Lonchura striata: one gene and its partner. The protein of the gene in region 2 purifies or fractionates together with the protein of the main gene of each other region. This does not show direct contact. Links are inferred from orthologs where the notes say so. Each region holds a gene or a part of one and is shown on either strand. Other genes may lie near its edges.

The links. Proteins that work in one complex are often made in the same cells at the same time.
Region 1: the proteins of LRWD1 (region 2) and ORC4 purify together in Homo sapiens (affinity purification with mass spectrometry; 3 studies listed by BioGRID and IntAct, with this or other methods). This does not show direct contact. The link is inferred for Lonchura striata from reciprocal best matches to the Homo sapiens genes LRWD1 and ORC4.

Annotation. Positions count from the first base shown.
Region 1 is NC_134610.1:2,483,162-2,486,905, reverse strand, and holds the start of ORC4 (origin recognition complex subunit 4), read right to left. Parts: upstream 2,353-3,744; 5' UTR 2,233-2,352; coding exon 2,164-2,232; intron 2,119-2,163; exon of another isoform or gene 2,003-2,118; intron 1,029-2,002; coding exon 957-1,028; intron 233-956; coding exon 156-232; intron 1-155. UniProt on the Homo sapiens protein: Component of the origin recognition complex (ORC) that binds origins of replication. DNA-binding is ATP-dependent. The specific DNA sequences that define origins of replication have not been identified yet.
Region 2 is NC_134622.1:5,607,224-5,610,967, forward strand, and holds the start of LRWD1 (leucine-rich repeat and WD repeat-containing protein 1), read left to right. Parts: upstream 1-1,544; 5' UTR 1,545-1,629; intron 1,630-3,744. Other genes in the region: ALKBH4 (alpha-ketoglutarate-dependent dioxygenase alkB homolog 4), read right to left, coding at 1-200, 640-837, 1,449-1,544. UniProt on the Homo sapiens protein: Required for G1/S transition. Recruits and stabilizes the origin recognition complex (ORC) onto chromatin during G1 to establish pre-replication complex (preRC) and to heterochromatic sites in post-replicated cells.

The DNA.
Region 1 (3,744 bases), on a different chromosome or scaffold from region 2:
CACAATCTGAGGCAAATAACTTTTGGAAGCACTGGGTTGGAAGTGAACCTATATAACTTAGTAAAACAGAGAGGCAGAAAGTTCTGACTTCAGCAAACTATTTTACCACTGCAGTTAAATTAGAAATCACTGAATCCTAGAGCCTGCTCACTCACCTGTACTGCTGCTCCATCCCAAACAGTTTTCCAGCAGCACAGTGGTGACAGAATCTTTCACGTAAGATTTTTTGCACCTAGGGATGTAACACAGCGCAGGAAAAATGTCTGGGGCTCCAAACACCAGAATTTACCAATCATGTAACTCCAGCAATAAAATAACAGCAAATTAGGTGCTTTTGTGGTGTTAGAAAATATTCTATAATACATACATTTTTACTGTTACCAAGGATAGAATGGTCTTGAAAGTAAGAATAAAGTTGCAGGAGGCAGAGTATTGTATAAATATTATATAAGGGAGAAAAAGCAATTAGAAGATATTAAAACATATAGGAAATCACTGATCCAGGGGTAATTCCTTGCAAGATGCATTACAGTTTTTAACCAGCAACTTTGAGAAAACAGGAGAATAAAGGTTAAAAAAACCAAAACAAATTAAAAACTGATTTGGCAGCTGCTGTTCTGTTGCTAAAAATGTCACCTGGGTTCTGACTCACCCTACAAACTGGAAGATAAGAAAACCTAAATGGTCAAAAATAGATTTAGGCAAATCTGTTGCCACAAAGAGTTGCAGAAGTACAAGAACATCCTTTAAGTTTTTTACTGCATTATAACAGTAACACTTGAAGCAATCAACAGGTGGGAAGCTGAAACACAGGGACAAAAGCTATTTAGTGCCCTAACAATTGTATCTGCCAGGCTTTATAACTGGCCTAGGAAAAAAGATAAATTATATCAATGGCACAGGGTGGAAAAGGTCCAGAATGTGAAAAGAAAGTAATGAATAAAGGTGTTACTGACCTGGGAAATGTTCTCAGCACTTTCTGCACTGCTCTCCTTCAACTTTCGCTTGTTTGTTGCAGAATGTTTCATCTTTGGAGAAGAGAAAATAAGCATTTCATTAATTAAGCATTTCCAAACAATCCCAGTCCGAAACTGTACTTAGATGTCGATCATTTTTAAGTACTGTAATGAACATCTGTTCTTAACTAATAAAGATGCAACAGTCCATCTCCCTAGTGAAAAACAGCTGAAAAACACTGAAATAATTTTAAATTTATTCCTGATAAACCTATGTTGACACACATCTCCTAAACAGCACTGGCTTTAGGATGCTTTAGGCAGTTTAAAATAATGTCCTTATGTTTCTGCAGCTGGAACAAGCTACAAGCACACGGGAACACATCAAGACAAACAGTTAAGTTTTTACAGGAATAACTGGTCATCCTTGTTTATAACATTAACCACAGCATCTCTCTGGACAAGCTGGCTCTGAAGGGGTCCTAAGGGGATTGGGGGGGTCTCTAAAGAGATTTGGGTAGATTCAGAGGGGGTCAGGGGGGAAAACTTTAGGGATTGGGGGTCCTTGAGGGGGATCATGATGGGATTGAGAAGTTTGAGAGGGTTCTGAGGGGGATTCAAGAGGGCCTGAGGGAGGCTCTAAGGGGGATTTGGAGAGGAATTACAGGTCTTGAGGGGGACTTAGAAGTGGTCCTGGGAAGGGTTTAGGGGTGGTCCTGAGGGATTTGGAGTGAGGAATTTATGGGGGCTAGGAGGGTCTGGGAATGCTCTGGAAAGGAATGGGGATGGGGGCGAGAGTGTCCATGAGGGAGCTGGGGAAGGGCTGTGGGAATGGGGAAGGTGGGAGGTCTGATTTTTCGGGGCTGGGAGAGTCCGTGACGACCCTGATGAGGGAATGGAGATACCTCAAAGAGCTTGGGAGGGTCCATGAGAGGCTGTGGGGGCGCTGAGGGCGGGTTTTGGGAGGACCCTGAGGAAATGGGGGGAGGCCCTACAGGGCTTGGAGGGTCCTGGGGTGCTGTCCTGGGGTGCTGTCCTGGCCTCACCTGTCCTCCCCTCACGGCGTGTCCCGCCTCTCCTCCATCACCCGAGGGCGGCCACCACCGCTCGCACGCTCCCCTCAGCCCTCACCGGGCAGCCAAGACCTCCCCCCGCCCCAGCAGCCATTCATCCCCCTCAGAAACCGCTCCCGCAGCTCCCTCCTCACAGGCTGTAACCGCGGCTCCCTCAGAGACGCCGGAGCCCGAGCGGATGAAGGGCGGGCGGTGGGGCGCATCCTCCGCTGCTCGGGCACGTCCCGCCCGGCTGAGGCGGAGGCTGAGGCGGTGGCTGAGTTTGAGGCGGAGGCCGGCTCTCCCTCACCTGCCCGCGCTGCCCTCACGGCGCTTTCCCGCCTCTCCCCCCCCCCCCCCCACCTGAGGGCGGGGCCCGCCGCGCACGCGCGCTCCCACCGGCCCGCGCGCGCGCCGCCCCCCTGACGTCACCGCGCGCTGCCCGCTGCCCTCCCTTTCCCTTTCCCCCTTCCCCTCCCCTCCGCTCCGCTCCCGTCACTTCCTCCCCGTCCATTTCCATCCCCCCTCATCCACTTCCTTCCTCCCCATCCCGGATCCGTTTCCGGGAGCGGCGCGCGCGGCGCTGTGGGAAGTCGTCGTCCCCCCCCCCCTCACCCCCCACCCCCCCGTTTCCCCCCCCCTTTCCTCCCCGCGGCCTCCCGAGCTCCCCCGGGGCGCATGCGCGGTGGCGGCCGCCGCTGCTGCCTGCCCTCCTCTTCCTCCTCCTCCTCCTCCTTCTCCTCCTCCTCCTCCTCCTCCTCCTTCCCGACAGCGGCGGCGGCGATGAGGAGGAGCGCGGGGGGGGGCGGCGGCGGGACGGCCGGTTGTTCGCGCCGCTGAAGGGACGCGAAGCAAGCAGCGCCGCGCCGAGGCGGGGGCGGGGGGCCCCGAGTCGCTGCCCCCGCCGCAGCCCCGCCGGGGAGTTTCTTCCACATCCCCCCTCAAACACACACCGAGACCGCCCCCCCACCCCCGTCCCTTGGGGGCGGCCCCGCGGAGCGCCGCTCCCTCCTCCTCCTCCCCCTTTATTACCCTTTGTGTGCGTCTCCGCCTTCCTCCCCGCGCCCGGGGGCCCTGAGGTGAGTGCGGGGGGAGCGGCGGGGCGGGGGGGGCTGTTTGTTTACCCCGCGGTTACCCCCCGTTTGCCCCGGGGGGCACCGCCTGTCACCCGGGGCCCCTTCCCGGCGCCCCCCGCCCCAGCTTTGTTGTCGGGGGATGCTCCGGGGATGCTCCTTGGGCCCCTCCGGAGCGGCACGGGAAGGGGGGTGATGGTGGCGGGGGCGCCGGGCAAAGTTCGGGGTGGCGCGGTGGGTGCTGAGCCCCGGCCGAGTCCCGAAAGTCTTGTTTTCCTGGGATAACACCCAGCCCCGGCGTTGCCCCCCCCCAGGTTCCAGGCCGTTGTTTGACTTATTGTTTGAGTTATTAAACCCCTGCGGTGGTGAAGGTACAAAGACCACTTGTACAAAGACCCTTTCCCGAGCTCAACTTCCAGGGATAGGCAGTCCAGGAGCTGGACTTGGTGTTTGCAGGGTTGGGATGTGGTTTGGTAGCAGCCCCTGGTTATCGGTGGTGCCCGGCTATATTTGGTCAATGGTTTGTTGGGATATAGATGTCGGGATGTGTTTTTCCATGGCTTTCTGCTGGGAAGGCCAAGCGTCTCCATCCCCGCTCACGGTGTTGGTCAGGTGCTGCTGGTGGACTGACCTGACCATGTTTTCTGCTGGTTCGAGGGAAAC
Region 2 (3,744 bases):
CACCAGTCATCAAAGTGGGGGTCAATGGCAGAGCCCCTCTCTGGTCTGTAGTCCAGGTTACACTGTTCCACAGGTAAGAAACCACTGAGCAGAGCACAGGCCTTCATCTGTGCCACAATCTTCCTGCTGAAACTCGGCAAGCCGGTAAAGCTGCCAGCTTTCAGCCTTTGTTTCTTGAAGTTCACTTTGGGCCCATAGTCCTGTTGGAAAAGAAGAGGGAGGGAAAAGCTAGTGTAAAGGAAAAATCTAGGCCAAGTCTTTTTGGAGAGGCTGTTCCTGCAGAGTTCTGTTCTCATCTCTTTCCAGTGACCTGGTTGCCAGGTTGCAAAAGGACTTAGTGAATCTACATTAATCTCTCTGGATTTATAAAGTAAAACTAAATCTGAACACCCACCTCTTTCCCTTGGAGATTGTGTGAACTTTAATGCTTGAACACACACCATCAAATTCTGTTATGTTATAACTATCATGAGTTTTTGCAAGAAGTTGATTTTAATTACAGGTAATTCTTGACATTGATTCAGGAAAAGCTTTCAAAGGAAAACACTTAATGAAGCATCTCAATATTTTGGCTTTTAACTGAAAACAGCTTTACTTTTCCAGAGGTATCTAAGATGTGTTGTGCTTTCAAAGTCCAACCTGTTTCTTTCGGCCAGACTGTGATGGTTTCCAGTCATCTCGATCCATCAGTTCCACTATCTCACACTCTTCATCTTCACTAATGAACTCCTCCACCAGGAACACCCCTGGAAAGGGAAATGCCCAGCCAGCAAATTCCGAGTGCTCATTTCCTTTAGCTAGGCCTGTTGCTGGACAGTAAGTGAAATTATCTTCTCCCTGTGGAAATTTCAACGGAAAAGAACAAAGAAAGCAATAAGATATTTCCATTATTTACCCCTGCAACCTTGCTACTGCAGCATGAAAACTGTACGGTATTCTTGCAGGAAAGATAAATTTTACAGATGGTTTTGGGGAAACAGCTATTCCCTGCTCTTTTTTTTTTTTCTTTTTTTCCAGCTGCAGCATCAACGTGCTGCTTGCTTGAAGCCACTTTTTTTCCCCTAGTGATGTCTTTATCCTGGAAAGGCAGGGAAGAACCGATGATGCTCAGGGCCACAGGTATAAGGAGATTAATGGTGGGCATTGCTGCAGAGATACGGTTTGTCGTAGCGATAAATGCCGAATGAGGGAAGTTGACGAAAATCGCGCGGGCCGCAAGGCTGAGCCGTAACAAATGAACGCGAACGTAACACGCGAGGCTCAGGTGAGCTCCCGCTGGGCTTCCGCGCCTTATTGAGGCCAACAATTCACGGTACCGGCGGGGCTCCGCCTCGTCCCTGCCGTGCGACCCCGGCGTCCCGGCCCCGCTCCGGGCACGGGGGTCCCGCCCCGCCGCCCCGGTTCCTCCGCCCGCCGCCCCGCCCCGCCGCCCGCCCCCTCCCCGGTACCTGCGGGGGCGGAGCGGCCGCCGCGGGCCCCTCGCAGAGCAGGCAGGAGCGGATCCCCTTGCAGCCGCAGCCCGCCGCTCCGCCCGCCGCCTGCATCCCGAGGACGCGGCCGCCCCGTCCCGCTGCTCCTCCCGCCCTTCCTTCCTCCCCGGCTCCTCTTCCTCCTCCCCGGCCGCTCCAGGTGAGGGCAGCGGGGCTGGGCGCAGGCCGCGCGGCCGGGCAGCGGGGGTGGAAGAGGGGGGTGCGGGCGGACTCGCGCTCCCAGCAGCCCCCGCGTCGCGGCAGGGCTCCGCGCTGCTGTTCGGCGCCGCGGGGGACGCTGGGAGTTGTAGGCGCGGCGCACGCCCCGCGAGGGCGCCTCAGGCCGCGGCCGGCGCCGGCCCCTCGCGGTGCTCGGAGTCCGGAGGCGGCGGTGACGGGCCGGGACCGCGCCTGCCCCGCCCGGACCGGGCCGGCCCTGCCCACGGGCGGAGCCGCGGCCTGCGCCCGCAGCCGGTAATATCCCGCGGCCCGGAGGCCGCCGCGGCGTGTGCGGACAGCCCCGGCATCCGTGGCCTTGTCACCATGGCGGCATGGCGTCCCGGGCGGTGCGGGGCAGCTCCAGGCGGGCACGGTCCGGCCAGGGGGATGCCCGGCTGCGGGGCTCCATCCCCAGAGCTGCGGTGGGGCAGGAGCGGCCTGATCCCGGGGAATAACCCCGGCGTTCAGTAGCCCCGCGGTACCCGAACGGCCCTCCGCAGCATCACCGCGGTGTGCGGGATGGGACACGCCGTGTGCGGCCTTCCCTGCGGCCCCTGCCCCGGCACAGCCGGCTCTGGGTGTCACTGCTGTCCTGGCACAGCCGGCTCTGGGTGTCACTGTGCTGCCCAGGCACAGCCGGCTCTGGGTGTCACTGTGCTACCCCGGCACAGCCGGCTCTGGCTGTCCCTGTGCTGCCCTGGCACAACCGGCTCTGGGTGTCACTGCTGTCCTGGCACAGCCGGCTCTGGGTGTCACTGTGCTACCCTGGCACAGCCGGCTCTGGGCGTCCCTGTGCTGCCCTGGCACAGCCGGCTCTGGGTGTCACTGTGCTACCCTGGCACAGCCGGCTCTGCTGGCACAGCCGGCTCTGGGTGTCACTGTGCTGCCCTGGCACAGCCGGCTCTGGGCGTCCCTGTGCTGCCCTGGCACAGCCGGCTCTGGGTGTCACTGTGCTACCCTGGCACAGCCGGCTCTGCTGGCACAGCCGGCTCTGGGTGTCACTGTGCTGCCCTGGCACAGCCGGCTCTGGGTGTCACTGTGCTGCCCCGGCACAGCCGGCTCTGGGTGTCACTGCTGCCCCGGCACAGCCGGCTCTGGGTGTCACTGCTGCCCTGGCACAGCCGGCTCTGGGGGCTCAGTGTGCCAAAGAGAGGGTGATGGCAATGTCCAGTCACTGGTATCACAATTCTATTGTAGACACAGGATCTGAGGGAGGTTTGGTTGAACAAGCCTGACCCCGTGGTTTGACTCTCAGGGAGAACTCTGTTGTTTGAAGGATCAAATCCCAAACAGCTGCTGTTTAATCTGGTTTTCAGTTCAGCTCTCTGTGCTTGTATACAGTATTTCAGTGTATACAATATTGTAGTTCCCCGTTGCTCATCACACAATGTTGCAGGTGCTGGAGGTGTGTGGTGCTGCTGAAACCAAAGCCAAGGACAGCTCAGTGCCCTGTGTGCCCCTCACGATGTGCTGGAGTGGCATTTAGGCAGCACTGATCTAACACAGAATGACAGGAGTGAGCCTGGCCTTGGAGCTCTGTTCTCTTTTATTCCCCTCTCTTGGAATCTGTGTCAGGAGGAGTGGGCGGGCCTGGTCCAGTCATTTGTGCAGCTCTTTTGGCCCTGTCAGCGCTGTTATTCCAAATATCAGCATATCCCTCCATGTGTGTGTGTGTCTACTGAAACATCAGTTAATCACCAACAAGACAGAGAACTGTTAATTTTTTTTGTCCTTGATAGGTGTGTCTTTGAATTTCTGCTGGTTAATTCAGTTTTCCAAAATTTTTGGGAATTCAGAAGTCATCAGGCAAGAGTCTGTTCAGGCCAGTGAGCTCGGTGTCACTTTCTTGGGAAAAAAACATTCACAGCAGGTGTATTGACTCTTTTTGTTTGAAAGAGTGTTGGAATTCCTGGAGCAGAGCCCGGGAGAGGCACAAACAGGTACCTGTGATGCTGTCCTGGTCCTGAGTGCCATCACTCATGGACAGCTTTCACCTGCAGCAGGTCTGTCACTCCAACAGCCCCGGGATGTATCCCTGTTGTTTTGGAGATGGATT